Linked DNA regions of Macaca fascicularis. The protein of the gene in region 1 interacts with the protein of each later gene in a pairwise test. Links are inferred from orthologs where the notes say so. Each region holds a gene or a part of one and is shown in the gene's direction. Other genes may lie near its edges.

The links.
Region 2: the proteins of KIFC3 (region 1) and DEUP1 interact in binary tests that used the Homo sapiens proteins (3 or more experiments, as listed by UniProt). The two-hybrid records come from large-scale screens. The link is inferred for Macaca fascicularis from reciprocal best matches to the Homo sapiens genes KIFC3 and DEUP1.
Region 3: the proteins of KIFC3 (region 1) and HSBP1 interact in binary tests that used the Homo sapiens proteins (3 or more experiments, as listed by UniProt). The two-hybrid records come from large-scale screens. The link is inferred for Macaca fascicularis from reciprocal best matches to the Homo sapiens genes KIFC3 and HSBP1.
Region 4: the proteins of KIFC3 (region 1) and CBY2 interact in binary tests that used the Homo sapiens proteins (3 or more experiments, as listed by UniProt). The two-hybrid records come from large-scale screens. The link is inferred for Macaca fascicularis from reciprocal best matches to the Homo sapiens genes KIFC3 and CBY2.
Region 5: the proteins of KIFC3 (region 1) and CDR2 interact in binary tests that used the Homo sapiens proteins (3 or more experiments, as listed by UniProt). The two-hybrid records come from large-scale screens. The link is inferred for Macaca fascicularis from reciprocal best matches to the Homo sapiens genes KIFC3 and CDR2.
Region 6: the proteins of KIFC3 (region 1) and DCTN2 interact in binary tests that used the Homo sapiens proteins (3 or more experiments, as listed by UniProt). The two-hybrid records come from large-scale screens. The link is inferred for Macaca fascicularis from reciprocal best matches to the Homo sapiens genes KIFC3 and DCTN2.

What each region holds. Positions count from the first base shown.
Region 1 is NC_088394.1:53,966,017-53,971,129, reverse strand, and holds the start of KIFC3 (kinesin-like protein KIFC3), read left to right. Parts: upstream 1-1,932; 5' UTR 1,933-2,028; coding exon 2,029-2,136; intron 2,137-5,113. UniProt on the Homo sapiens protein: Minus-end microtubule-dependent motor protein. Involved in apically targeted transport. Required for zonula adherens maintenance.
Region 2 is NC_088388.1:92,363,635-92,368,635, forward strand, and holds the start of DEUP1 (deuterosome assembly protein 1), read left to right. Parts: upstream 1-1,799; 5' UTR 1,800-1,830; intron 1,831-3,290; 5' UTR 3,291-3,334; coding exon 3,335-3,363; intron 3,364-5,001. UniProt on the Homo sapiens protein: Key structural component of the deuterosome, a structure that promotes de novo centriole amplification in multiciliated cells.
Region 3 is NC_088394.1:79,684,248-79,689,195, forward strand, and holds the start of HSBP1 (heat shock factor-binding protein 1), read left to right. Parts: upstream 1-1,746; 5' UTR 1,747-1,827; coding exon 1,828-1,872; intron 1,873-2,430; coding exon 2,431-2,497; intron 2,498-3,065; coding exon 3,066-3,184; 3' UTR 3,185-3,186; intron 3,187-4,948. UniProt on the Homo sapiens protein: Negative regulator of the heat shock response. Negatively affects HSF1 DNA-binding activity. May have a role in the suppression of the activation of the stress response during the aging process.
Region 4 is NC_088391.1:24,906,261-24,911,138, forward strand, and holds the start of CBY2 (protein chibby homolog 2), read left to right. Parts: upstream 1-1,676; 5' UTR 1,677-1,747; coding exon 1,748-1,822; intron 1,823-2,121; coding exon 2,122-2,202; intron 2,203-4,878.
Region 5 is NC_088394.1:21,363,621-21,368,581, reverse strand, and holds the start of CDR2 (cerebellar degeneration-related protein 2), read left to right. Parts: upstream 1-1,759; 5' UTR 1,760-2,073; coding exon 2,074-2,152; intron 2,153-4,961.
Region 6 is NC_088385.1:64,354,274-64,359,334, reverse strand, and holds the start of DCTN2 (dynactin subunit 2), read left to right. Parts: upstream 1-1,859; 5' UTR 1,860-1,974; coding exon 1,975-2,010; intron 2,011-2,934; coding exon 2,935-3,003; intron 3,004-5,061. UniProt on the Homo sapiens protein: Part of the dynactin complex that activates the molecular motor dynein for ultra-processive transport along microtubules. In the dynactin soulder domain, binds the ACTR1A filament and acts as a molecular ruler to determine the length.

The sequences.
Region 1 (5,113 bases):
TATTACTGTTTTGCTGCTTCTCTCAGAATTATCCTTATTTCCTATAGTGTTAATTAGTCATATTTTGGTCTTATTATACTCCAATAAAGGTAAAGAGGTTGAACTTGGGGCTCACACCTGTAATTCCAGCACTTTGGGAGGCCAAGGTGGGAGAATCGCTTGAGGCCAGGAGTTCAAGACCAACCTGGGCAAAACATGGTGAGACCTCCCCCACCCCAATCTCTATTGAAAAAAAGAATTTTTTTTTTTTTTTTTTCCGAGACAGTCTCGCTTTGTCGCCCAGGCTGGAGTGCAGTGGCAGGATCTCGGCTCATTGCAACCTCCATTTCCCGGGGTAAGAGTCTCCTACCTCAGCCTCCTGAGTAGCTGGGATTACAGGCACGCACCACCATGTCTAGCCAATTTTTGTATTTTTAGTAGAGATGGGGTTTCACCATGCTGGCCAGGCTGGTCTCAAACTCCTGACTGCGTGAGCTACCTGCCTCAGCCTCCAAAAATGCTGAGATTTACAGGCGTGAGCCACCGTGCCTGGCTGAAAATTTTAAAATTAGCTGGGCATGGTGGCACATCCCTGTAGTCCTCACTACTCAGGAGGCTGCGGTGGGAGAATTGCTTGAGCCCAGGGGTTCGAGGTTGCAGTGAGCCATGATCATGGCACTGCACTCCGGCCTGGACAACAGAGCAAGACCTTGTCTCAAATAAATAAATAAATAAGAAGAAATTTGAAAAATACATATATATTCTTAATAAATTTGTGGTTTTATTGAGTTATTAGAGTCCCATGCCATAGGCCCTTCAAAAGCACATGTCCTCCCAAGAAAACTTTAATTACAGTAACAAGCAGTAAATTGATAAAAGAACCAGAGGGCCAGGGTACACAGGAATTGTTTTATTGTCTTTTCCATGTCTCAGGCATTCTATAATTGTCTACTTCATCCATGTTCTGAAGCTAATTAGTTATTCCATCCCCAGGATAAAGTTAGGCCTCTTAGTTTTAACTTCGTATTTGCAGGTTTGACCTAATTCCTTGCCAGCTCATAATATAATTAAGGTTGGCATTCCTTCTCTTATCCACCCTCCCCACTCCCCGGCCTTCCCTCCCAGCTGTGTGCCTGTTTATCACTAGATGGTGCTAAGACTTGGGTTATAGCTGCCAGAGACTCCAGGAAAGTTGTTTGGGAGCCAAGCAGGCTGGAATTTGAGAACTGGAAGATGCCTTCAGAGCTCATCCGGGCAGCACTTTTGTTTTACAAATGAGGAAACAGAAACTCAGTGAAAATAAGTAATTTGTCAGAGCCCCAGAGATCTCTCCCCTCCTTTTTTTTTCTCTCTTATCTGTTAATAGCTTCCAGTGTTACCTCATCACCCAGGAAGGAGCACAGCTCAGAGAGCAACAAGGTCAGAGTTGCTTTGCAGAAAGCACTTTGGCAGCTGCATGGTACCATTCATTGATTCATTCATTCATTCCAAAAGCAGTTATTGGGTACCTACTTTTTGCTTTGCATGGTGCTATGTTGGGAATAAAAATCAGATGAGAATTCCTAGGATTCTAGGAATTCACATTCTCTTAGGAAATTCAGAAATGCAAAAAAAAAAAAAAAAAAAAAAAAAGAAAAGAAAAAAAGAAAAATCACCCCCTAAATCAAAGATGCTATCATAGAGGTGATTATAGGACACTCTGGTCACTTGGAGGAGTTTGCAGCCAGCTGCATTCGTAATTCAAAGGGAAGATTTTGGTGAACTAACATTGGAGGCTGAAGGGCACGTCGGATCTTGTAGGCAGAGGAACAGGAGGAAGGGCAGTCTGGGCAGAGAGCATCATGGGGGAAGGCTTGGAGAGCTAGTGAGGCTTGCTGGAGAGAGCAGCTGATTGTAGCTAATGACCAAAGGGCAGGGTCAAAGGGGCAGGTGGTAATCTGGAAAGGAGGGAACAGACTGGAAAATACTTCATCCGAGGTGTCATGCTTAGGAATCTGTACTTTATCCTGAAGGCTACAGGACAACCCAGTAAAGCGTATTGCTCGGAAAATGGCATGGATGGAGTTTCTTTTCAGGAAGAACACTCTGACAGCTGCATGGAAGCCCAGACACCAGGAAAGCCTCAGATTGGAGGCTGGCGTCCCGGAGCAGTGCGAGGTAAGGGCCTGGCTGGGTTGGGGCAGTGGGAATGGGAGGAGGAGACCTGTTGGAGAGAAATTTCAGGAGCAGGACTGACAACATCTTTTTGAAAAACAGTGATTGGGATTGTAACTAATATTCCTAGAAGATGGTTACCACTCTGGTATTTGAATTACTTATAAAACACTGAAGGGATGAAATTTTAATTGAATACACATATTACTTGGATACAATGTTTGAAATTATTTTAAAAATGCAACTTTATGGCAGTATAGTAATCCTCTCTTATCCACAGTTTTGCTTTCTGAGGTTTCAGTAACCCTCTTGCCTCACTGCAACCTCTACCTCCCAGGTTCAAGTGATTCTCGTGCCACAGCCTCCCAAATAGCTGGGATTACAGGTGCGCACCATCACACCTGGCTGATTTTTGTATTTTTAGTAGAGACAGGGTTTGCCGTGTTGGTTAGGCCCCAAGGTCCAAAAATATTAAATGGAAAATTCCAGAAATAAACAATTCATAAATTCTAAGTTGCATGATGTTCTAAGTAGCTTGATGAAATCTCAGCCAGGCACGGTGGCTCACACCTGTAATCCCAGCACTTTGAGAGACTGAGGCGGGAGGATCATTTGAGCTCAGGAGTTTGAGACCAGCCTGGGCAAGACCCTGTCTGTACTAAAAGAAAAAAAAAAAAGTAGCCATATGTGGTGGTGTGCACCTGTAGTCCCAGCTATTCCAGACAGAAAATTAAAGAACAATAATAATAATAATAAAGGCGCCAAAAAGCTCCCAGGGAGTAGCAGGTAAGCCCAGCTGCCAGAATTCGCTTCCGGAAGCTCATCCTTATTCCTTGATGATCTATATATATGACTGGCTAGTACTTCCACTCCTTCCGCTTGAAAATATTTTACCTGTGGGAAACATTATTGTTATTATTTTTATTATTTTGAGGCAGAGTTTCACTCTGTTGCCCAGGCTGGAGTGCAGTGGCACAATCCTGCCTCACTGCAACCTCCACCTCCCAGGTTCAAGTGATTCTCGTGCCACAGCCTCCCAAGTAGCTGGGATTACAGGTGCACACCATCACGCCCGGCTGATTTTTGTATTTTTAGTAGAGACAGGGTTTTGCCGTGTTGGTTAGGCCGGTCTTGAACTCCTGGCCACAAGTGATCCACCTGCCTTGGCCTCCCATAGTGCTGGGATTACAGGTGTGAGCTACCGCACCTGGCCTAGGAAAGATTATTTTGATCACATGGCTGTCTTCTGGCCTTCTGGCCCTCAGTACCATGGTGCAAATTGTTTTATGATCGTCCCCGGGTAAAGTGGATGCTGGGTCCATCGTCCTTCCTGCCGCCTGCAATACATCCTTGGGAACATCCAGACCAGCCATTTGCCCTGGTCAGCATTGTTTCATTTATGAGATTGGTAATTAACAAATTAATTATCTAAGGTTGCGTGGTGAGAGAGGGAAAGACATTGAGATAGAAGGTTAATAGTGTCAGAGATGTCCTGACCAGAGAGACTCCATCCTGAATAAAGGCTAAGTAAAGCCAATCCTGCTGGGCAGCATTCCCAGGGGGTTGACACTGTTGGTCACAAGATATTTATGGTTGAGGGGATGAGTTAATGATGCTAACTTACCAAATAAAGACCCAGAACTTATGGAAACGTCCCAATATTTCAAGAACAAAAAGCATTCTTAGTTTAAGAATAGATTTTACTTTAAAGATAATAGTACACACATAAATTCTTGTGGAAATCAGTAGTAACATAGGAAAATAACAATACTAATAGCCCGTCACAAGCTGATCAAAAGTCTTTGTAATGAAGTATGCTATTCTTAACAACCTATATAAGCAAGCACTATGTTTAAGGTGAGGCATTCTTGGCCAGGCATGGTGGCTCACGCCTGTAATCCCAGCACTTTGGGAGGCTGAGATGGATGGATCTCTTCAGCTCAGGAGTTGAAGACCAGCCTGGCCAACATGAAAAAACCTTATCTTTACAAAAGATACAAAAGTTAGCCAGCCATGGTGGTGTGTACCTGTAACTCAGCTACTTGGGAGGCAGAGGTGGAAGGATTAATTGAGCCTAGGAAATTGAGGCTATAGTAAGCCATGATAGTGCCACTGTACTCCAGCCTCAGTGACAGAGTGAGATCTTGTATCTAAATAAATAAATAAATAAATAAAAATTTTAAAGTAGGGGCATTCCTCCTTTTGCTTTCTGAGGAAGCCTTACTCCATAATAGTCTCTAACAAACTATCTTAACTTTGCTGTACTCTGCAACTTGCCCTGAATTCTTTCCCGAGAAAGTGAGATCTAAGAGCCCACTCTTGGAGTCTGGGACAAGACCCATTTTCTGGTAACAGCAGTGGTAATGAATGAACATATGTAATTTAATTATCATTTGGATATCCAGTTTGATTTTCTTTTTTTAAATTTTTAAAAATTTTTGAGACAGAGTTTCACTCTTGTTGCCCAGGCTGGAGTGCAATGCATGATCTTTGGCTCACTGCCACCTCCTCCTCCCAGGTTCAAGCGATTCTCCTGCCTCAGCCTCCTGAATAGCTGGGATTACAGGCATATGTCACCATGCCCAGCTAATTTTGTATTTTCAGTAGAGATGGGGTTTCGCCACGTTGGTCAGGCTGGTCTTGAACTCCTGACTTCAGGTTATCCACCTGCCTCTGCTTCCCAAAGTGCTGGAATTACAGGTGTGAGCCACTGCCCCAGTTTGATTTTCTAAATTTTACTCTGCCTTTATAGAATTTCCTAGGGAGGAATTAAGGGAGCTCCACCTGCCCCGCTTGTTTTTATTTTATTTCATTTTTGAGACAGAGTCTCACTCTGTTGCCCAGGCTGGAGTGCAGTGGCGCAATCTCAGCTCACTGCAACCTCTGCCTCCTGGATTCAAGCCATCCTTCCTCCTCAGCCTCCTGAGTAGCTGAGACTACAGGCATGCACCACCACACCTGGCTAATTTTTGTATTTTTA
Region 2 (5,001 bases), on another chromosome or scaffold:
AAAACCTTTATTTGTATTAAATTGAATGGGATGTTCCTATTCTATATTTAAATTTTCCTAAAATCCATTATAGTATGTGTCTTCTCACATGTTTTTGCAAGCATTCCCCTGCACCTATTCTTCCATGTGAAAACATGAAACCTACAGTTTGCTAAGGAAGATCCTGACTGCTAAAGAAACCAACTCAACCTTAATGTTTGGAGAACACTGGATTTGGAGTAAGATGATCTAGGTTTATATCTTGAGGTATCATCCATTTCAAGTGCAAATAGATGGACAAGTCCATGGACATATCCTTCATTCTCTCTAAGCCTGGGTTTCCTAATCTTCTGAAAGGAGCTATAAATAACACCTGATACACTTGCTGAGTGTATTTCTGAGCCTCTAAAGAAATAATGAACATGGAAGTACTTACCAATGTTACATAGCCTTAGTGATCTTGGGCATCCTGAGATTTCATTAAATTTCGTTGCTAGTTTCATTTTCCCTTCCTTGGGTTAGAAAAAAAATACAGTGACCCATTCAATTCAGACAAGAATAACTAAGAGTTTTCAGAATAATGAAAAGTTTCAAGTTAAGATAACACAGTCACCCTCTTCATGCAAACATGAGAGCTATGAAACACTTATTAGAACTAATATCCCAGGTGACTATATACAATTCATCTATGAAGCTCAATTTGTCAAGAAACAGCATAATGGTTTTATAAAATTCAGTTGGAACCTGGACGGAGGGATGTAGATGCGCATTAAATTCATGGAATATTAAAGTAGCAAATTAGCATTAAAGTGATGAAAGTAAAGTGCAAATAAAAGACTTTAAGAATTAAGTAGTCGCCTCCATGTATTAGGAAGGAATTCTTTGGTTAAAATAAATCAAACACAAAATTCAAGTGCTTAAAACAAATCACTCGAGATGTCAGTTGGAAAATATATATTATTTTCTATTATTTCCTCTATGAAATGAAGAGAGACAGAAATTCTGTCATCAATGACTCTTGGAATTTGGTGGAAAAAGGAAAGAATCCGGAGTCAGTCCCATTGAGTTTCGTTCCAGCTTCTCTTAGAAGCTCTTCCCTTCTCCCAGAAGGGAGGCAACACTGTCCGCTCGCCTGACTAGCAGTTAAGGACCCATCGCGCTTGGAAAGCCAGGTACAAGCAGATGCTGTTAATCACCACAGGAACCGGGGCTGAGCGACGAAATCCAGCTCCTCCCAGCTGTAAGACACTAGGGTGCACGGAGAGAAAAGCAGTTCTCTTTACCCCAAGTTTATTTCTTTTTCATACCACTTCAAATTTGAGTAAGAGGAAAGAGGGCCAAGGGGATTTAAAGAACCTGGATGATGAATCCCAGCTGTTTACAGTTCCTTCGTGATCTCTTTGGTTCATTTATTCAACCAGTATTTCCGGGCTGCAGCTTGGGTGCCGGGCCCTGGGGTAGGGCAGTGGGACTACAATGAGGAAAGGACCCAGAATAGAGGGGGCACTGGACACATAACTGCGGGATAGCGAGGTCGCGCTCGCGCGGGGCGAGGTTGAAGGCAGCCGAGGAACCCCCCACAGGGCAGCGCCTACCGCCGCCGCGCCCATCCCCCACTCCGACGGCCACGAGTTCGGGCCGCGACGTCCCCATGGCAACAAGCGGCAGCGCTGAGCGCTGGGAGGGAGAGGCCCAACTGCCTGGTTGGTCGCGCGGCAGGAGGGCCCAGGCGGCGGGAGCGCAGAGGCGGGTGGCGAGGCCCCTTGGGGCGGGCCTGGCCAGGTGGGAGGTGACCTACGCGGTCCTGCGCCCCCGGCCTCAGACCTCTCGGGCGAGCGCCGCGCAGCGCAGGTAATGGCTCTTGGCCTTCCCGGCCACGCCTCGCCCCTGACCCTCACCCAAAGGCCAGGCTGTCCCCCGGGCTGGCGCGGGTCCCTGAGCGGGACAGGGGGACCCCAAAAGGGCAGCCGCTCTGTGGGAAGCTGGGCTTGAACCGAGCGCGGGTCCTGGAGGGGCGCGTGGCGCGGGGACAGAGGCTGGGAGGGGAGGCCCACCCATGCATATCCAGAGCAGAGCTGCGCCCTAAGTTGGAAGGCCTGGGCTTTAGTCGTGTGGCCTTGGGCAAGCCACTTAGCTTGTCTGTGCCTCAGTTTCCCTGACGTTTAAGTGAGAGATTTGAGAATCTACAAAACCATTTATAGGTCTGCGCGTTCTGGTCACGTTTTCCTTCACCATCCCTTGCTCCTCTCTGCTCTGTCCCACACACAGTTCCAGGGTCTCTCCTAAACTCTTCGGTTTGGAAGTGATGCGAGCTCGAATCTTCCTCCTCTTTCTACCTCCTTGAATGCTCTTTAATTGACTTTTATTCAGTGATTCGGAAGAGTTGAAGTCCTTCTCAATACTTTCTCCAGTTATCGTCATAGATTATTTTTTAACTATAATTTTGTTACTGAGAAAAACATTTTTTTTTTTTTACTTTAGGCAAATACTAACGTCCCTATTTTGTCAAGAGGTGAGCCAGTGCCCATAGAGCCATTGAAGAATTTCAAGATTTCTTTTTAAAGGCATTCGTAGCCTTTTTGTCTTAAATCTCATAGTTATATTCATCCTAACAAAATCCAGAGAGGGCCAAAGAAAGAATGTACTCAAATAAAGGCACACCTTTATTGGATCCACAAGAATAGAAAGTTTGAGAACATCTGGCTAGAATTTCTCTTTTAATGGGAATTCTGTTTTACTCGTTCTCATGTACTGAGTCCTTTGCAGACAATATAGTACCAAGCTATTATTCAATAAGTAGTAAATGGATGCTCATTTTAGTCAGTACCACATATTTCAATTCATCACTAAGTCAATATCATAAATGCATAGGGGTCGCTAAACAAAAAAACTCAAGTTTGGGAGGCCAAGGTGGGCAGATCACGAGGTCAGGAGTCTGAGACCAGCCTGATCAATATGCTGAAACCCCGTCCCTACTAAAAATACAAAACTTAGCCAGGCGTGGTGGCAATTGCCTGTCCCAGCTACTCAGGAGGCTGAGGCAGGAGAATCGCTAGAACCCGGGAGGCAGAGGTTGCAGTGAGCTGAGAGCGTGCCACTGCACTCCAGCCTGGGCGACAGAGCAAGACTCCGTCTCAAAAAACAAACAAAAAACCAAAACAGAAAACTCAAGTTTCTATATTTTGTAGGATCAAGAGCTACTACACAGAAAAACTCATACTAAGTGGGTTTTGCCAGTAGCTAAATTTTCCTGTTTTATAGGTTAATGAATGTAAACATTTTAGGAATTTGGATCATTTTCCCCCTAACAGATTAAAAATCAAGAAATATAAACCAGATGTAGCAGTTTCTTGACATGGAGAACCAAGCCCATAATACAATGGGGTAAGTGCTGAGAAATTTCTGTTTTATAAGTATGTACTTAACTATGCCAAAAACTTCCTGAGAACACATGAATTTTGAAATTTACTATTAAGAGAAGGATATGCCAATTATTTTTGGTGAGGCAGATGAGAGGAAATATCAAGTGACTGTAATTAAGAATTATAATGCGAGAGTTTCTGATTTTGACACTACAGATCTGCACTCAAAAAAATCACTGTTTTCCAACTCTTAGTGACTGTCCAATATCTAAGGGTGATGGATGCTGAGGCAGGCCTCATGTGCTCTTCTATTACCACAATGCAACCTCTCTTCGACAGCTTGCTCCTTTTTTGCTGCATTATCTCAAGTTTCCCTCTACTCTTGCCCCTTAAGGCTGAACTCAACACTTAAACATAGGCTGAGAATAGATCCAACTCCATAAAAACATCATCAAGAACTAGATATTTTACCAAAAGTTTCACGAAGAGATAAAAATAAAATTTGTATAGCATTTGTCATTGTAGAAATCAAATTCCTGTTTACAAATATCTGTCCTAACTCTTTACCTGCTACCAGCATCACAGAGTTTTGTCTTCCAATCACTAGCCAACTGACCACTGGCTGAACACAGCGTTTGGGGAATGAGGGGGTGAAGGGGTGGTTGTATAGTGCCTAATCTTGATTGCAGCTGACTTTGGCACTAGTCACACCACTTCAGTTGTCTCACTTTCAGAAATTCTGCCCAGACCATAACTTTAATGTCAGGCTGAAAGAAAGCTGCACAAGTTTGAATAACAATCATAGCTATCACTTTTTAGCTGCTACTGCATACTCCTTCTTACAACAGCCCTGCTAGGTATTATTATCGTTTTACAACTAAGAAAAGTAAATATATTACAGTACAGTCTAAGCTCTTATAACAAAGAGACTCCAAAAACAGCAGCTTAAGTAAGATTGAAGATTATTTGTTTCACATACTTGTCACAGGTGCTATGCTCGCCCAAGATGCGCAGACCAGGATTGGTTTGGCAACTCTGCCATCTTCACTAACGATTTCTATCTCTAGGACCAAAGTGGTTGTTTCAGCTCCTACCATCATAAGTGTGCTCTGTCATCATGACTGTGCTCCTTCCATAGGGAAGGAGAAGGGCAAGAGGAGAGAGTAAGACATTTTCTTTTAGGAGTATAACATGGAAATGGCAGGTCTCACTTCTGTTCATTTTCCATTGGCCAGAACTTAATCCCAGAGTTACAACTAACAGCAAGAAAGGCTGGGAAATATGGTCTGTAACTAGGCAACCATATGATCAGACGAAGCTTAGAAGTTCTAGAACAAAGGAGGAAGAATGGATATTGGTGAAAAACTAGCATCCTCTACCACATTCAGCCTCAGAAAGGTAGAAAGACCAAAAAAAGCAGGAGGTCATCCTAGAATATACACCAGGTTAGTAAAGAAAGTAGGATTTGAATTCAGGTATGCCTGGCTCCAATCCCTGTGTTCCTTTCTGCGTTGGAAATGGGTGGCAATGAGATGCAGGGAGCAGCCTGCCTGGTATCCATAGTAGAGCCAAGTTAGGATTCTGAGTTAAGTATGTGTTGGGTCCGTGGTGTGATGATAGCACTAAGAGTTAAGATGCAGATTGAAGATGTTGAACCTAA
Region 3 (4,948 bases), about 26 Mb from region 1:
AAGGAAGTCCTGCATCTCTTACTTCCTTAATTTGATGACCTTGTTCCAGTTTCTTAATGCCTCTGCGTCTGTTTTCTCAATAATGTAAAATTATGATAATTATATCACAGGGTCTTCTGAGGATTAAGTTAAAACACTGAGTATGTTTATTTCAAGTAGTCGGGTGAAGTACTAGCCAAACACCAGTTGACAACAGCCAAATACAAAAAAAGTTGTGCATCCTTACACAGAAAGGAAGATCTCTCTGTAGGGAAGGATGAGGTGTGTAGGGTGAGAGGCAAAGGTGTAAGTGAGGGGGAAGGGGTGGTGAAGGGAGTTGAGTCTTATGCCTCAAGGCCAACTGGATTCCAGGTTTGTTAGAGACACTGGTGGGTCTCGCAGAGGCGTTTGAACAAGAGCAACTCCATCTCGAATAGGAGCTGGGTAAACTGAGGCTGAGACCTACTGGGCTGCATTCCCAGACAGTTAAAAGGATTGTAAGTCACAGGATTGGGATAGGAGGTCAGCACAAGGTACAGGTCATAAAGACCTTGCTGATAAAACAGCTTGCAGTAAAGAAGCCGGCCAAAACCCACCAAAACCAGGATGGCAATGAGAATGAACCCTGTTTGTCCTCATTGCTACACTCCCATTAGCGCCATGACAGTATACAAATGCCATGGCAACATCAAGAAGTTACCCTATATGGTCTAAAAAGGGGAGGTATGAATCACCCACCCCTTGTTTAGCATACAATCAAGAAATAACCATAAAAATGAGCAACCAGCAGCCCTCGGGGCTCTGTCTATGGAGTAATCATTCTTTTATTCCTTCACTTTCTTAAACTTGCTTTCACTTTACAGACTCGCCCTGAATTCTTTCTTGCAGGAGATCCAAGAACCCCATCTCTTGGGGTCTGGATCAGGACCCTTTCCTGTAACAGGTCTAACCCCTTACAGACTCTCCCCACCTAAACTCAAACTGGAGCTGACCCTCACACACAGCAGTCCTTAAATGAGATGTGTGAAAGTTTCCAGAACTTTCACACATCTCCTTGCCAGGCCCGCAGTCAAGGACTCTCCTATCCCCTTGCCCTGAGACCCAATCCTAAAGACCATCTGTGGGGTTGGAACTAGAGGTTCCACCTCAGCAGTGCCCACCTCCTTCAACACCCAAACCCACAGTCTAACCCTGATGCCGGAAGCCTTCCCCACTCAACAGTAGGCATCGCGTGGAGTGCAAGAAGCCAGACATGATGGACAGCTTCCTGTCTGAATCCCCTCATATGAACCTGACGGGCACAATGAACCTGCAGGGTTAAACTCCGGACGCTGGCCACCCTCAGGGTGGAGATGACAGGACAGGACAGGACAGGACAGGGGCCATAGGGCTTCCGGGGGGCTCATGTTCCTTGACTTGGGGGCAGTTACAAGGGTATAGTGGGTCTTGTTGAAGGACAAAAGTTCAGTAAGTTCGTCCTGACAGGCCAAAGAAACCCAGAGCCGTCTTTCGACTGACTACAGCCTGGAATGGGGGCCAAGGCCACTCCCTGCCTCTATTGCTCCATTTCTGAGTTGGTCTCACTTCCCACTCCACCAACGGCACGCTGGGGAGGGGAGGGGCTATGCAAAAGAGGGCGGGGAGCGTGGGGTGGGGCCGCTCCTTGGAACGGAAGCGCTCGGCCTCGAGGCCCTTCCGGTGCGGGAGAAACTACTACTCCCATAATGCCCCGCGGTCCCGCGAGCAGCCAGTCTCGTCGCGAGAAGCAGCGGGCGGGGGCGTCTGAGCCGACAAACGGAAGTGTAGGTTACGGTCTGAGACATAACCGCCAAGCTGGGCGTCGGGGAGATGGCCGAGACTGACCCCAAGACCGTGCAGGACCTCACCTCGGTGGTAAGGGATGGCTGTGAGGGCCCGAGGCCGCGGCATTCTCGGGCGGCGCCGGGCCAGGCCCTGCTGGACAGAGGCGCGCCCACCGCGATCGCGCGTGGCGTCTGCCGAGGCCCCGTTTCTGGAAGCGTCTCTGGCCGAGGCTCCCGGCCACCTTGACCCCCTGGGCGCTCGGTGCGGACCCGTCTCCCCGCGGGCGCTCCCAAGCCCGACCCCCTCCGGTAGCCCCATTCACCTGTGGCGAACGCCCCCCGGGCCCCTCCTGCCTCCCTCTGACACCCTCCCCGCCCTTCGACTCCTTACACACCCCCGGGTGCCCCAACCCGGCAGAAACAGCCTAAAGACCCTGAACTTTGAGTCGCAGCGGCCTCCCCAGCCCACCAGTCTAATTAGACAGGTGGGAAAACGGAAGCCCCGAGAAGGAAGATCCTTGCTGAAGGCGGCACAGCTGCCCAGAGGCAGAAATGGGGCTGGAACCCGAGACCGGAGCTCACGTCCTGATCCCAGGAAGGTGTCTCAGGATCAGTGTGGACCATGTTTGTTTGTTTCGGTTTTTCTTAGGTGCAGACACTCCTGCAGCAGATGCAAGATAAATTTCAGACCATGTCTGACCAGATCATTGGGAGAAATATCCTTTTTATCTGTAGTGGGCCTCCTGTGGGCCTTTGGAGTCTCTTTGCCGGGCAGCGGTGGGGATAAATGAGTAGTTTTCAGGCCAGCTTCAGCCAGTCACTTACAGAATTTGAGCTTGGATTGTACTGTGTTTCCAAGAAGGACTGCGCCGAGAGCTCGGGGTACAGCTGAGCTAGACAGATCCCTGGCTCAAGGAGCGTACATCTACCAATCCTAATAGCTGGTGTGGTTGACCATGGACTGTGAACTAAGCGTTTTTGTGTGTGTCTTTCTTTTGATACTCAGCATGACCTTATGAGTGGGTTGTAGTGTTACCATCTTTAGCAAATGCATAAATTGAGGTTTAGGGGTTCCATCACTAGTAAGGGTCAGGGCCGGAAACCGATGCTGGGTAGCCATGCCCCAGAGGCCTATACTCTTACCCACCAGCCTGTAACAGTGTCTAAAGGAAATTGGAAGACCTGTTTCCCTAAAATCGTTGTGTTTAAGGCCGTAGTCTACAGGGACGGAAGGAAAGGGCTCAATGAGGAGATGTTGGCACGCGTTGTCTTTAACTTCACCACTTGATGATATGAGTAGTCGCATTGATGATCTGGAGAAGAACATCGCAGACCTCATGACACAGGCTGGGGTGGAAGAACTGGAAGGTGAAAACAAGATACCTGCCACACAAAAGAGTTGAAGGTGAGGAAGGGGGCAATTTTTTTTGTTGTTTCTTTTTTTCTTTTCTTTTTGTTTTTTTTTTTTTTTAACACGGAGTTTTGCTCTTGTTGCCCAGGCTGGAGTGCAATGGCACAATCTCGGCTCACCACAACCTTTGTCTCCTGGGTTCAAGGGATTCTCCTGCCTCAGCCTCCCGAGTAGCTGGGATTACAGGCTTGCGCCACGACGCCCAGCTAATTTTGTATTCTTAGTAGAGATGGGGTTTCTCCATGTTGGTCAGGCTGGTCTCGAATTCTGACCTCAAGTGATCCGCCCACCTCAGCCTCTGGAAGTACTGGGATTACAGGTGTGAGCCACCGTGCCCGGCCTTTTTTTTTTCCCTTAAAAGAATAGAACCTGTAAGTATAATTTTGATGTAGTCAGACATTCTGTAGATCAGTTCCCAGCCATGATCCCAGCAAACATCCCTGTATTCTTTACCCGCTGTGGACTTCATGTTTTGGAATTTTTCATGCCAAACTCATTCTTTACACTGAATTTATTTTCCCAGTTTTTATTAATTAGACTTCTGTCACTGTTAGTTAAGACAACTGGCTAACATTAGATAACCACTGAGTTTTTATCATTCCAGCTAATAAAGGGGTTTTTGTTGGCCTATAAAGCCTGTCACTGGAAGATTTTCCATTGCTTTTCTTGGGAGGCGGGGGGCGGTGGAGGGGATCGCTGATAAGTCGCCCACATTACCACCTTCTTAAATGGCTTAAATTCTGGAGACTTGCTTGGTAACTTGACATAGGTAAACTAGATTGTGGCCACATTAAGCTTTTACTCTGGAGTTCATTTAAATTTCCACTGAATAGTTTCAGATGTCAGAGGAAAGCCCATTAAAACTACCCAATAGCAAGATAGGTGCACTGAGTGCACAGTCCTTTTCCTCTGTATATGTGAAAAATAAGTTTTAAACTCCCTTTTCTCATGTTTCATGTATAACGTTTTAATTCTCTATAAAAATGAATGTTACCCAGGGAGGCAGAGGTTGCAGTTGAGATCGCGCCACTGCACTCCAGCCTGGGCGACAGAGTGAGACTCGTCTCAAAAAAAAAAACGGTTGCTGGCACGTGGTGGCTCATGCCTGTAATTCCAGCACTTTGGGAGGCAAAGGCGCGCAGATCACTTGATGTGAGGAGCTCGAGACCAGCCTGGCCAACATGGTGAAACCCTGTCTCTACAAAAATGGGCGTGGTGGTGCACGCCTGTAATCCCAGCTACTCGGCAGGCTGAGACAGGAGAATCCTTTGAACTCAGGAGGCAGAGTTTGCAGTGAGCCATGATCATGCTACTGCACTCCAGCCTGGGTGATAGAGCAAGACTCTGTCTCAAAAAAAAAATGAAAAAATAAAATCCTGAGTATTTTTAGATAGGTAGTGCACCAAGCAGAATATACAGTAAAAGATGCCTAGTTTCCTATTTTCTGGGCTTGCTCTGGACCACATTTTAAGTTACTGCGAAATACAGATTTGGGATGTTGAAGACACACTCTTAACTTTGCTTTTATCTTTACGATGGGTAGGGTTTATTCACTATGTGAGTACATCACATAACTGCTTTCTATGGGTGATGTCATCATTATTCTTATCCAGAGATAATTTGGAAAAATGTCCTACCAGTCTTCGATGCATCTGTGGGTCTCTTTTTATGTTATGTGGCAGCCAAAACTCCCATCAGCCGACTGAGAATCTTGCCACAAGAATTTCAGGATTGTAGACTGGCTAGTGATGGGGGT
Region 4 (4,878 bases), on another chromosome or scaffold:
AGTGTGCGGATAAACTGCTCTGGAGCTCTCATAAGGCTTCTGCTGGAGCCATCACAGTCTTTAACCTTTGTTAAGCCAAACATTGATACACAGACCAAAAATACAGACAGATCAACAAAAATCAGAACCAGACTAGATTATCTCAGTGGCTGCAGCTTTTTACTATTGCCTTAATTCTTTGTGACTTGAACATACACCAGATTTGGGACTCTAACCTGACCAGAATCCCCCTTGGGTAGGACTCAAACCCACAGTCCTAGACAAGGGTGGGACTCTCATCCATAATCCTAAACCACAGGGTGGGACCTGAACCCACAGTCCTTATGATGAGTTCAAAGACAATTAAAAGTACAGGTACGTATTAACAAGGTACTCACCAGAAAGATGTCTAATCCAGAAGCAATTTCTTTTCCCAAAGGAAAAGTGCCAAGGGAACCTGAAGTGCCATGGTAGAGAAGCAGGAACCCTATAGTTGAGCCTCTGAACGCACTGGTCTAGGTGGCTACTCAGGATCAGTGCAGGGGGCCTGCACACCACTAGGGGCAACAGTACCTTGAACAGGCTGTTCGTCTCACCTGGGGTTCTAGTTTGTTATCAAGCAAAAGGGGCTCACTGCCCAATATGCTAGAAGCCAATACTGACACCAAGTTTTTGAAAAAAAGAAAAGCTTTATATTAAAAGTCACCTCTGAAGGAGGCAGGAGTCAAGCTCAAATTTGTCTCTCTGTGCTGGCATTAAAGCAGTATTTTTATTGGAAAAGGTTCAGGGGGTGGATTCTGAGATTAGCAGGTGATTGGTACAAGGAAAAGGGAGGTCTGGAAAGTCCTTGGGCATGCACAGTTATTTCTTCATGTTAACTCCTGAGTTGCATGTGCAAATTCAGGGGGAATTAGTACAAAACATGTGGTGGAAATTCAGGCTACGACATCAGCAAGCTTATTGTGTGCAAGCTCCAGTCAGCCATTTTGGTTCCAACCAATTTCCGCCAGGTTTTTCTAGATCTCACAAGTGGAGGGAGTTTCAGCAGCTTAAATTTCTTTTCTTATCTGCTATCCCGAAACTCAAAAATTTCTGTTAGTTACTGATTTCTTACTCTTTGGGACTTTCCATATCTCCCATTTCCATCTACCAATCACCTACTAATCTCGGAATCTACCCCCGGAAACTTTTCTAATAAAAATACTGCCTTAATGTCAGCACCGAGAGACCGGTTTGAGTTTGACTCTTGTCTCCTTGGGAGTTGACTTTGAATATACAAGTTTTTCTTTTTTAAAGAACGTAGTGTTTTAGTATTGGCTTCTATTGCATTGGGCAGTAAGCCCCTTCAGCTCTATCACACTAACTCCAGGTAGATAGCATCAGAATGAAATGGAATTGTAGGGCACACAGTTGATGTCAGAGAATTAAGGAATTGAGTAGTGTCAGAAAACACCTCAGACTATACTTTCTCGCTTGGTGTGGGAAGAGTTCAGTTGTGTTTCCTTCTTCTTGAGTGACCGAACTCCAAGAAGACGCCACTTCTGGAGAGAAACTAGGGGTCTCAACTTAGCCTGGCAGTGAGAATACAAATGGCAGCTGGGATGACCCAACAGGGGGCTAATGTTTGAGCTATTGTGTGTCACACTGACCCTGACCGGCCAAGTAGTCACAGCCCCCACAGGTTCTTCCTGCCTGTCAGATGCCTCATTCCCACCTGTGATGCTCAGACAGAAACCATGAGCCCTGAAAAACACCCTATTGTTTTGTGATGTCACCTCTGGAATGTTCTGAGTGTTTTGGTGACCAACTTCTGCATAGGACCTATACCTGGCAACTCACATTGGTATGGCTTTTTACTTGAGATAGAAATAATCATCTTAGGCAAGCAGGTACAGTTATCTCCGCGTCAAAGACTTTCAAAAGTCTTTTACATCAACTATAATATCTAGCTTAATATCTGTTCAGAGATTGATAAACCGTCTTGCCAGATATCGTCTACACATTCTTCCAGACTTTCATAATTGTACATAACTGACAAGAGGGAAATAAATGAGGAGAAAGTTCTATGTTTTTTAGGTGAGCAATTGAGGCCCAGAGGATGAGTTGGGAAGCAGCAATCTTCTTCTTTTCTCTTTTCCACAGCACTCAAGGCCAAATTTTACAAGAAAAAGAGATACCAGATCTGAAAGCCTAGAAATTCCAATCAATGTGGTTCTACCTCAGGTAGGGATAATCACAGAGGATGTAACCTATCGGTGTTAGCCAGAATAACCCCCTACCTCCTCCTTCAAAACTCTAGCAAGATGTTGTAGAATAAGCAGAGATAGGGCTTCAGGTTCTAGTTTGGGTTGGCTGCCAGCAGGCAGCGTGCTGGGGAAGGCCACATAGCCCCTGTGGGCCTTGGGTTCTTTTTCCCACGAATGAGGTGGTTGGGTCAGATGGTTTGGTAAGAACTTCCAGTCCTAACATTCCAAGTTTCTATGATACTCTGAAGTAACCCAACCTTCTCAAAACGAGACCTTTTGGTGCTTAGTGTTGTGCATTCACTTTGGATTTCTAGAGGAGAATTAGAACTGGGACTTGGAATCAAATGCATAAGAATGAATCCATGAGAAGAAAACCTCCTTCATGGACAGAGGGGTACAGAGTTATTTGGAGTTGTCAAGAGAATTAAGCCCTGCTATGCACCAAAGACAGATGTAGGGGCCATGGGCATAGATGCTTTTGTGGTCAATGAATTGGTGAAGTCCTCACAGGCTAGAGATTCTCAGGTCTCCTCCTGCCTGAAATCAGCTCTTTCCTTAGTGGAGTCTTCTTGATTGAATTGTGTCTACTGATGCTATGTCACAAAGGGGTGGCTTTGCTTTCTCCAGAGTCACCTAAGGCCTCATTGGAAGACCAGGGCCATGCAACCAGAGGGGTTGAAATGTAGGATGGAGGAATCCAAAGCAGAGGTAACTATCTGAGAGCTCTGTCCAGGGATGTGTAGGAGGAGGATTGACCACTGGTGAGCATTCCAGATATAATTGTAACAATCTAGGCAAGTATGTTCAGTGGGAGGCAAACATATGGAAGAAGAAAACATCCTGGATGTTTATTTTCACATTATCTTTATAACTTTGTAATGAACAGTCACTTTTCTATGACTTGAATCTTAGCTAGAATATAAGATAACTTCCCCCTGATCATTCGACAGGATAACAAGCTGTAGGAATCTTTTTGGGCCTGATTCTTTCCACCTGAAATATGCAGGGAGTTGTGTTGGCCACTGCTTCCCCAAGAGTGGGTGTTACTGCTGTGATGCCTCATGGCCCATATAAACCAATCTTTTCTTCCAGAATCCTGGGGCCTCTCAACTTTACATGCTTTGAAAGTACCTCAGATGGCTGAACGTTCTCTGATAGTAACCCTCAGTAATGTTGGCAAAGTTGGTGTTTAAGAAACTTGGTCAGGCAGAGGATGCCAACCTAGAGGTGGGTGTGAAGGAGGGGATAGGATTTGAAAGAGTAGTGGTCATGTGATAGAGAAATTGGAATGATGTTTCCATCAACACCTACCGTAACTTTCCCTCCCCAGCTCCCAGAAACAGCCCAGCAATCAAAGAGAAGAGAATGTGGTTTAAGACAGCTCAAGCTTGTCTTGGGGCTGCCTGATTACTGTTCTGGAGGACCTGGTGCTGCTGCTGGGGTCCTGTGGGGGCAGAGTGGGTGAAGAATGAGAGGATATCTCCTGTCTGGGCATGTGTACCTCTCACGGGAAGGTGTATACACCTGCCAAGAGGGCACAAGCCATGCACCAGGTTTTGGACACCTGTCAGGATGCTCAAGACTGGCACTCTGGGGACGGGTGTGGGTGTCTACAAGTAGATAATCTGAACCAAAATACCACCAGGGCTGCGAGAGGGACCAATGTGCTCACTCGGCCTCCCTAGATGAGATGGTGCATGGCTTAGGGGACAGGGTTGATCTGGGAAGCAAGGAGAGGAAGAAATATCGACTGAATGTTAGTGCGATCATGTGTTGAGCACGGTGCCAAGTAAGTGTGAGGTAGAGATTTTACAGGTACAGGAACTGGCAACCCCAGGAACCCCACTAGTAATGGCAGAGATGGAGGAAGGGGCTTGAACTCCAATCAGTGCCCATGTTCTCCGCTATACCAGGGCACATGCCACTAAGCTGGGCCACGCTGCATCTTAGCTCTGTGGTTCTTCTTTTGCTCTTTGGAGATGGAGTCTTCTCCCCGCATCTTAACCGCTCATCTCTGGGCTTCTTATTTTGTATTTGCCAAAAGCTACTCTATTCTGGGATGGAATCCACTTTCCATTTGTTTCAGAAAGGACTTGTGGCAGCAGCTCTGTCTCTAGAAAGTGCCTCTGCTTCCCAGCTCCCAGTCCTGCTGTGTGTTTAGGCTTCTCAATTACATTGCAAATGCCTGTGATCACTACTTGTTATCACCCTTAGGTCTTTTCAGGACGCATTGATTTCCCGTTTTTCTTCCTCACATTAAATATTTGTGTTTTCTGATCTATTTCCCTCCAGCACATTAACTTGCAAGCCATCAATGCCATTTCCAGCCCAAGCTAGCTGATCTCCTGGTTCCTTTTGCACGTAATGATTCAGTTCTCAAAGACTTTCACATTTCCCCAGTGAGCATGCTCTGTGAATTTCATTAAGGCATTGTTTACTCCTAGATCATTAATGAAAGAGCTACACCAGGTCAGACTGAGCTCCAATAGCACACACCAGTGCCATCTTCATCCTTCCCAGTTGCCTTTTCTCCTTCCCCTTTGTTTGGGCTTGTTCCTCAGAAGCAGTGAATTCCTGCTGACAGCAGCCAGATCGCCGCCAATTTGAATAACGGTTCCCAGGAAGATTTCACAAGAGTCTCTGTTAAACAGTA
Region 5 (4,961 bases), about 33 Mb from region 1:
TTACCCACAACAATTATTTAGGATGAGTTTTTCCCCTCTTCAAATTACCCAAGTCCTTTTTGTTTTATACAGAAAGACAAAAGTAGCTTGAGTCTATAATTCCTTCCCTACAATTTCCCTTATTTTTAACGTGCAAGTGCTTAAAAAGCAAGATCACAGAAGGGTTTATAACAAAAAGCCAAAGTCCCCAGCCTCAACTCACACCTCCTCTTAGGAAAACTTTTTTTTTTTTTTTTTTTTTCCAGACGGAGTTTCGCTCCTTTTGCCCAGGCTGGAGTGCAACGGTGCGATCTTGGCTCACTGCAACCTCCGCCTCCCGGGTTTCAAGCAATTCTCCTGCCTCAGCCTTCCAAGTAGTTGGGATTACAGGCATGCGCCACCATGCCTGGCTAATTTTGTATTTTTAGTAGAGATGGGGGTTTCTCCAAGTTGGTCAGGCTGGTCTCGAACTCCCGACCTCAGGTGATCCGCCCGCCTCGGTCTTCCAAAATGCTAAATTACAGGCGTGAGCCACCGCGTCCGGCCTCGGAAAACTCTTAACTGCTTCCCATTTTTAGTTCTGGCAGCTCTCTCCATATTTGTGGAAACGATTTATTGGATTATCAATGTAAGGTATTATCTGTCGACTCACTGCTAAAATAGATCAGGATTTAACTAACACTCCTCTCCACCTCTTCCCTCTTTCCGAATTTCTAACAGTTTATTACCTTATGTTCTAGAGATAATCTTTCAATTATATACTTAAACCTCGATTTTTTTGTTTCGTTGCTCAAAGTTAGCTAGATATTGGCCCTGCTGTCTTCCATCAGCTGCAATTTTACCTTTACGTCAAGGTTGAGAACATTGACCTTCTGGTCTGTCATCCTGCTTAAGAGTTTCCGTGCTTTGTCTGTAAGATGGTGCTAAAAGCTTTACTCATGAGCAGTATTTGCTGGGTTATGTCGGTGGAGGACAGCGTGCTCTGCCTTGCTGGCTACTAAGTGCTGGGGCTGCAGCCTGACCCCTCCAGGTGCAATGCCACGTCCCCAGATGCTTAACTTGTGGTCTAGAGGTACCTTTTAAAAATCGTTGCAACCCTGCTTACAATTTTCCCCCTCCAAGTGGACAGCTTCGGGCATCCCTCACTGCCCCAGATTCTCAACGGGGTCTGGCGCCCACCGTTTTAGGGAGCGTAATTCCCAGAGCTCAGATGTCAACGAGACAAGAGCTACCGCTCAGTGGGCGTTTTCTCAGCCCTAAACTCCCGATCGACTCCGAGTCTCCTTGCCGGACCCGGAGCAAATCTCAGAGTCAACATGCGAGAAGCGGCAGCCGGGCGGCGGACCTCCGGCTTCCGGCACCCTCGCGCTTCCCGCCGGCACGAAGGACGCCTCTCGACAACCACCCGCCTCTCAGAGGCCGAAGTCCTAGGCCCTCCGGCCTGCGCTGCCTGTCCACGGACGCGCTGGCCTCGGGACACCCACCAAAGCGGCAGGACTCGCCTCCGCCAGCTCCACAGCCCGGAACCTAGTACGCGCTCCTAGGAGCCGCACAGCGCAGATCAGGGGGCGGGCTTTCGGCCGCACCCCTTCACTGTTTCCCCGCCTTCTTTGTTTATTCGGGGCCCGTCATTGGCTGCTTGGCCTCGAAACCGGGCGAGCCGCGGGTCTTTGGAGAGACGCGATTGGACGAAGTCCCTGTCGCTCGGCCAGCGGCCCGCTCGCGATTGGTTGAGAAGCCGCCGGGGGTTTGAATCGCATCCCCGGCCGGGGAGGGTTCTGCCAAAGTGCCACGTTGGGCCCGGCGGCGGCGTGAAGACCGGCGGCAGCGTGAGAACCTGGCTCCCTACGTTCGCGCCGTAACGCCCGGCCGTTGGGGCCGTTGGGAGGCGCTAGGCGAGTCGAAGCAGCCGGCCGGTCGGCGGCGGTCGCCGGCGGGAACGGGGCTGAGGCGGCGCGGCGGAGCCTGGGCGGCGGCGCGTCCCGCCCGAGGGCGGCTCTGGCTGAGGGCGGAGGGGCCGGGGAAGAGCCCGGGGCAGCGGCTGAGGCGGGACGGCGGCGGCTGGGACCGTTGCCCCTAGAGGACCCAGCCGAGATGCTGGCGGAAAACCTGGTGGAGGAGTTTGAAATGAAGGAGGACGAGCCGTGGTACGACCACCAGGACCTCCAGCAAGGTGAGGGCGGGGGCGCCCCGCGGGCGGGCGGGTGGGCGGCGGCGGCCTGGCCCGGGAGGCCCCCGCTGCGAAACTGTTAAAAAGTTGCTTTTTCTGGCGGCTGAGGATGCAGGTGCCGGGAAGGGCTCGGGCTCACCTGGCGGCGGGGCCGGCCGTGCCCGTGGATCCCGCCCGCAGGAAGCCTCGGCGCGGGGCCCATGGCCCTGCTAATGCGCAGTTGAATATCAGCCCCGAGGCGCATGGGGGCCAGGGACGCGCCAGGCACCGTTTTAAGCGCTTTCCGTGGATTAGCTAGTTTAATCCTCACTGCATTCCTCCGAGGCAGACCGGGTGAGCCAGTGTGTCCCGCAGTAAGTGGCAGAGCCCGAGAAGCCGCCCCCTCGCAGGCTGTGTAGCCCAGCGCCTTTCTTGGCCAGCACGGAGGGCCGGCTGCTGCAGGTGGTAGTGGTTTTGCGATGTAGCGGGAGCTGTGCGCTCTGCGCCGTAACTCTAGGAGACAGTAACTTTTAAAAAATTGATTAATTTTGAGGGTACATAGTAGGTGTATCTATTTATGGGGTACGTGAGATGTTTGGATACAGGCACGCAGTGTGAAATAAGCACGTGATGGAGAACGGGGCGTCCATCCCTTCCAGCATTTATCCATTGAGGTACAAACAATCCAATTACACTGAGAGTAACTTTTGTTATCCCATTTTCCAGATGAGGAAAGCGGAGGTTGAAACGGTTGAGTGGCTTGCCTAAAGCTAAGTGGGGGAGGGAGTGTTTTTTGAACCCACACACTCAAAAGGAGGAGTTGTAGGCACTCCTCAAACCCCCATCCCTTCCTTACCATCCTAGTTAACGGTTTTTTTTCAGTTGGGAATTAAGCTGTTACGCATAGTTCACCAGATGCCAGTTGAAATGACAGAAGAGCGCTTCTACCTCTGCCACTTTTCTTCAGTTTGCATGCCAGCTTTCACTTAGAAATAGGCCTGCCGATGGTGTCTCCAGAGAACAATCATAGAGCAGCCAACACTTTGGGGCCAGTGGGGCCCCACTTTTTTTTATACTAATAGCAGGAGCTAGCAATTGGGGAACACTTTTGATGTGCCTAACACTGATAGGCCCATAACAGAGTTGCTCATTTATCTCCCAGTAACACAATAGAGGTGATAATGTTGGGGAGTGCTAGGGTTCCCCTTAAGACTCGAGAGCAAACATTCTTAACCGCTATACTGAACACTGTGAATAATCCTCAGGAATTTTTCCCGGCATCTTTGGTTTCTGCAATTCTATGTAAATGTTTTCAGCTCTAATCTTGCAGTGAAAATTAACATCTCATTTAGTTAAATATTAAATGATGATGATGCTTGTTCATGCTAACCACTGAACATGGCAGAAGGAAACTGTGTAGACTTGAATAACTCAGAAAAGGAAAATAAAATGAGCACCCCTTTTGGAGGAAGATAATTTCTTAAATTAACATGCAATCACTTTAACCAAAGTAATTCACCTTTATTACGCTTATAGAGTCCAAGCTGCTTAGTGGTTGCAGTGCAGTGTTTGGTGGCATCATCTTTATGTCCAAAGGACAAATTTCTCATACATTTTAACAAACCTGTTTTCAGATTTCCCCATAGGGATTGATGGCCTAGTTTGATAGTTTCTCCAGGATTTGTGAGGCAACCACTGTGCCATTGCAGTATTTCCCTATAATTTAATTTGTATCATCACAACTAAATATTTTTCTTTCCTGTATTTAAGAAGCATAGGCCGGGTGCGGTGGCTCACGCCTGTAATCCCAACACTTTGGGAGGCCGCGGCGGGTGGATCACAAGATCAGGAGTTTGAGCCCAGCCTGACCAACAAGGTGAAACCCCGTCTCTACTAAAAATACAAAAATTAGCCAGGCGTGCCTATAATTAGCATGTGCCTGTAATCCCAGCTACTCAGGAGACTGAGGCAGGAGAATTGCTTGAATATAGAAGGCGGAGGTTGCAGTGAGCCAAGATGGCGCCGCGGCACTCCAGCCTGGGCGACACGAGACTCTGTCTTAAAAAAAAAAAAATTTAAGAAGCATAAATCCTTAAGGGTATAGAGGGGGCAGGTTCTTTTTTCTGGTATTTCCAGCATCTAGCATAATACTTGGCACATACTGGAAGCTCGATTTTAGTATTTGTTGAACTGCACTGAAGCACTAGCACAGAAGTGTTTTCATGGCTCTCTTCCATCAGGTGCCTTAGTCCACGCTGCGTTCTCCCACTGTTGGAGGTTGTTTGGAACCACCAGCTGTAACACTTCAGTCTATCAAGCAGCAAGTGCAGCGTGTCAGGGTTACACGTGGAATTCTCTTTAACCTCTGATCAAAATAAAGTCATCAACTCTTCAAGTTTAACGTTAAAAACACAGGTCTGGCCAGGCGCGGTGGCTCACGCCTGTAATCCCAGCACTTTGGGAGGCCGAGGCAGGTGGATCACGAGGTCAGGAGAACGAGACCATCCTGGCTAACACGGTGAAACCCTGTCTCTACTAAAAATACAAAAAATAAAAAATTAGCCGGGCATGGTGGTGGGCGCCTGTAGTCCCAGCTACTTGGGAGGCTAAGGCAGGAGAATGGCGTGAACCCGGGAGGTGGAGCTTGCAGTAAGCCGAGATCGCACCACTGCACTCCAGGCTCGGCGACAGAGCGAGACTCCGTCTCAAAAAAAAAAAAAAAAAAAATTTAAAAAACCACACAGGTCTGGGCTGGGTGCAGTGGCTCATGCCTGTAATCCCAGCACTTTGGGAGGCCGAGGCGGGCATATCACCTGAGGCCAGGAGTTCGAGA
Region 6 (5,061 bases), on another chromosome or scaffold:
GACAGAAAAGTGGTAGGACTATGGAGAAAGGGATAGAGGCTTGGGGAGGAGCCAGGAGAAAGAAAGACAATGAGTTCCGAATTCAGGAACTCTCTAGTCACTTGGTTTGGCACAATTTCTAAGTGTTGCAGCATCCTGCAAGCTCAGGAAACATCCTGGGAAACATCCCATCCTTGGGTCCCCAGGGCCTCCAAGGTGGCATCTTTAGTAAAGGGGTTTCAAAATGCCAGTCCATGGAGGGTCACTGGTCAGAGACAAAAGTTCACTGAGTATGCCTTCACCTCCAAAAGAACAATGGTGAGTTGTTGTTGTTGTTGTTGTTTAATATAAAGCTGGATTTGATAAGTTTCAAAAGACTATCTTTTATTCTGAGTGTGTCCTTCCTGCTTTTCTACTAAGTAATGATTGTGACAGTAAACAGTAGGTTTTCTGTTTGTAATATACTTACTTGATAAGAAAGTAAATCTTCAAGGTTTGTAGTTGTTTTAATTTTATTGAACGATGAAATTTATTTATTTATTTATTTATTTATTTATTTATTTATTTTTTTGAGACGGAGTCTCGCTCTGTCGCCGGGGCTGGAGCGCAGTGGCCGGATCTCAGCTCACTGCAAGCTCCGCCTCCCGGGTTTACGCCATTCTCCTGCCTCAGCCTCCTGTGTAGCTGGGACTACAGGCGCCCGCCACCTCGCCCGGCTAGTTTTTTGTATTTTTTTAGTAGAGACGGGGTTTCACCGTGTTCGCCAGGATGGTCTCGATCTCCTGACCTCGTGATCCGCCCGTCTCGGCCTCCCAAAGTGCTGGGATTACAGGCTTGAGCCACCGCGCCCGGCCGAACGATGAAATTTAAAAGTCTGAGAACGGGAGGTAAGAATGGTGAATAGGTACAAAAAATTAGAAAGTATAATAAGACCTACTATTTGATGGCACAATAGGGTGACTATAGTCAAGAATAACTCAATTGTACATTTTTAAATAACTTGAGTGTAATTGGATTATTTGTAACTTAAAGGATAAATGCTTGAGAGGATGGATACCCTCTTCTCCGTGATGTGCTCATTTCACATTGCATGCCTGTATCAAAATATCTCATGTCCCATAAATACATACACCTGTGTACCCACAAAATTGAAAAAATTGAAAAATAAATAAAAGTCTGAGAACTATTAACAAAGCGGTTAAGAACACAGAGTGTTCAGACAGACATGGAGACACCACTTATCTATTTATGAACTTCAGATAAGATTGCCAGATTTGAAAAACAAAAAACAAAAACAGGATGCCCAGTTAAAGTTGAATTTCAGATACATAATTATTTGGGGGTTAGTATACCCACACACACCCACACACACCACACACCACACACACACACCTACTTATTATCTAAAATTCAAATTATCTGAAAGCCCTTACTTGAGAAGATTGCCTAACTTTTTCATTCCTAACTTACACTAAGCGTTTACTAAATTTTACTTCTTGTTTTTATTTTGTTTTTATAATACACAGTATCAAGCAAACTTGTTGTTTTTGAAACCCTGGCTGTGTCACTTATGACTAGCTGTATGATTTAATCTAGTCATTTTATTCCTGGGAGCCCAAAACAGGAATTATAAATGTTCTTTCATTGACTAGCTGAAATAGCTTCCCAAGGTTCGTTATTGTCGCTCCCCGCCCAAGCTCCGGTACACCAAAACTACACATCCCACAATCCTTGGCGGCGTCCCTTGGCCATTACCTCATTCCCTGGCCTCGTTCTCCCCAGTCCCGGCCTCTCCAGGGGTGTGGCAGCGGGGCTGTTCTCGCGACTTTTGCTTTACCCTTCTGCTGTGCTACTGCTGCCGCGAGACTTCCTGCTCATCTGCCGCTCCCTTTGCCGCCGCCTTAGCCCGGGACCCGAACCCAGCCTCTCCCCTATCCGAACACCGGCCCCGGCTCCTCCGAGGCAACGGTCCCCCAGCCCCGTCTCGCCGCCGCCATGGCGGACCCTAAATACGCCGACCTTCCCGGCATTGTGAGTACAAGGCCGGCCCCGGCTTCCCAGGACCGCGCCCCCGACCTCCCAAGGACCCCCAACAGAAACCAGCCCGCGACCCCTCCCGCCTGCAGCCCATCTTCCGCCCAAGGGCTCCCGCCGCTCGTTCTCCGACCGGCCGCAGCACCCCCCGAACTCTTCTGACCCGACTGGGCCGGGCAGCCGGACGGCTCACCAGGCCCCCTTTACGGCAGTCGCCGGTAGCTCGGCCCAGAAATCGACTCCGGGTACTGACCGCTTGTGCCCGGGTGTTTCCACCATCCGTGTCAGCGCCGCCCATGCCCCCGCCAAATCTCTCCATAAGACCCCCACATCCCTAGCCCAGACACACACACTAGACCACTTAGCGATTACCTTCATCCTGACAAGGAAAAGGTTACCATGGCAGAACCCTCTTGTGCCAGATCGGGAGCTCTATCCTTGGGGGAACCTGTGCCCTCCCCCACCTCCCACTCCCATGACAATCCTGGCGTGTACCTTTTGTGCTGCCCTGCCTGCTTCTCAAGGTGTGGGTTGGGACACAGGACCTTGAGTACTAAGGTCCTGAGTCACTCTCAATCCTTGTGCCAGGGTAGTGGTGTACAGGGCCTAATTGGAGGATAGCCCTCACCTTCTTCGGCAGTAGTGATTGCCAAGGACCTGCCCGCTTCTAGATTTAGGGTAACATCGTTGCTATCACTTACACTCACCGTTTACTGTCAGGTCCCAGTTGTCTCCGCTGTCATCCCTACCCCTTGAGACATGGGAATTGACATACTGTTGACTCACGGGGCAGGTGGAGGAGAAAGGACAGAACCCTGGCATCACACCCTGCCTTCTCCGTTAGCTTATTTAAATGGAGTGGGGTAAGGGGTGTTGCGATGCTGGATAGTGAGGTTGGGTGGTCACTGCTTCTACCTGCAGGCCAGGAATGAGCCAGATGTTTATGAAACCAGCGACCTGCCTGAGGATGATCAAGCGGAGTTTGATGCGGTAAGAATGTGTGCTGCCACAGATTCCTCCGAACTCTGACCTTTCTCCCCTAGACAGGTCCTTCCCTTTCTCTGGGGAACTACAGCAATAAGCGGGTATGCCAACCCCAGCCTGGGTGGTATATAGGTTGCAGGACTTGAAAAGACCTTGCTGGGCTTGCAGCCACCAATGAGCAACGGCAGGAGGGAGAGTCATGTCAGTGGAATTACAGCTAACAACATCTGTTTGCAAAGCCCTGATCCTTGGACCTTTTAAATAAAATTGAAATATCTCAAAACAGATTTGGGGCTAGTGACTTAGGCCCCTGGGTTCTAACCCATGGAAATGAATCATGAAGCCTGGGCACTTGTAATAAACTGCTACCGAGAACTAGACTTTGAAATATAGAGAAATACTTTTAAAATATGAATACCCAGTATCCACTGGGCAAGGAATTAAGAAAGTGATTCCAAGATTTTAGAGTAAAACAAATTTGAGGAAGAATTTCATATCAGCAGAGGTGAGATTGTGGTTGCATTTTTAGATCTGAGAACTCTGAGGATGGAGTAATTAGGTGCGGACACATTTTAACTATGAGGGGAAACACTTAGCATGGTTTATTGAATGTGTTCATTCTGTGTTTTTTTTTTTTTTTTGTGCAATGCAGAGGAAGAAATGTCACTGCCCCCAATGAGCCCCAGACTAATGGGGAATTAGGATACATATAGGAAACGTATAGAAGGAAAAAACAACAACAACAAAATTGAGTGAATGGAAATCAACATAGTAAAAACTCTGTTTAAGTGCCAAGGGGTGTGTTTATAGGATGTGTTTTAGGTTCTATTATTTCTGAAGAGAGCTGCGCTGGGATCACATTGGTGATGTGAGTTCTCAGTAAAGGTGTGTCCAAGAGTCATTGCAATATGCAGGCTCAGTTTGCTTGTCTGTAAGTCCTGTGGCTATTGTCTGTGGGGCTCGTTAGTTCTGGGGAATGCTGACTGCTGGCTTACAATGTATGGCTTGGCGTACTCACTTATTTCTTACTTGACTCCCCCATGTGGAAGTGGTTCTTACATTGTGGGAAACACCTTCTCTGTCCCTTCTCCCAGTGGTGTGGTCCTTGTGGCTTCCGTATTTGCTGGCATGCCAATCTATCCCCCAAGCTTGAGTATCTTGGAGATAATGCAGATGATGATGTTGCTCAAGAACCTGGGTGTGCACCTGTCACTCCAAGAGGCATCTTATAGGAAGCTGCCTCTGTCCTCACAGAATAGGAGTGTATACAGTTGGTTCTCTGTGTTTATGGGCTCTAAACCCATGGATTCAACCAACCACGAATGGGAAATATTTTTTAAAAATAAAAAATAGGCCCAATGCAGTGGCTCATACCTATAATCCCAGCACTTTGGGAGGCTGAGGCAGGTGGATCATTTGAGGTCAGGAGTTCGAGACCACGTCTCTACTAAAAAATACAAAAATTAGCAAGGTGTGGTGGCGAACACTTACAGTCCCAGCTACTAGGGAGGCTGAGGCAGGAGAATTGCTTGAACCCGGGAGGTGGAGGTTGCAGTGAGCCGAGATTGCGCCACTGCACCCCAGCCTGGGCAACAGCAAGACTCTGTCTCAAAAAAAAACCATTACAACAATAAAAAGAATACAATGAGATCACTTGGACACAGGAAAGGAAGCATCACACACTGGGTCCTATTGTGGGGAGGGGGGAAGGGGAAGGGAAAGCATTAGGAGATATACCTAATGTAAATGATGAGTTAATGGGTGCAGCACACCAACATGGCACATGTGTATATATATATGTAACAAACCTGCATGTTGTGCACATGTACCCTAGAACTTAAAGTATAAAAAAAAAAGAATACAAAATTTAAAAACACAATATAACAACTATTTACATAGCATTTACATTGTACTAGGTATTTTAAGTAATCTAGAGATGATTTAAAGTATACAAGAGGATATGTGTGGGCTATATGCAGATACTATGCCAATTTATACAGAAGATGTGAACATATGCAGATTTTAGTATCAAGGGAGGTCCTGCAACCAGTCTCCCACAGTTGC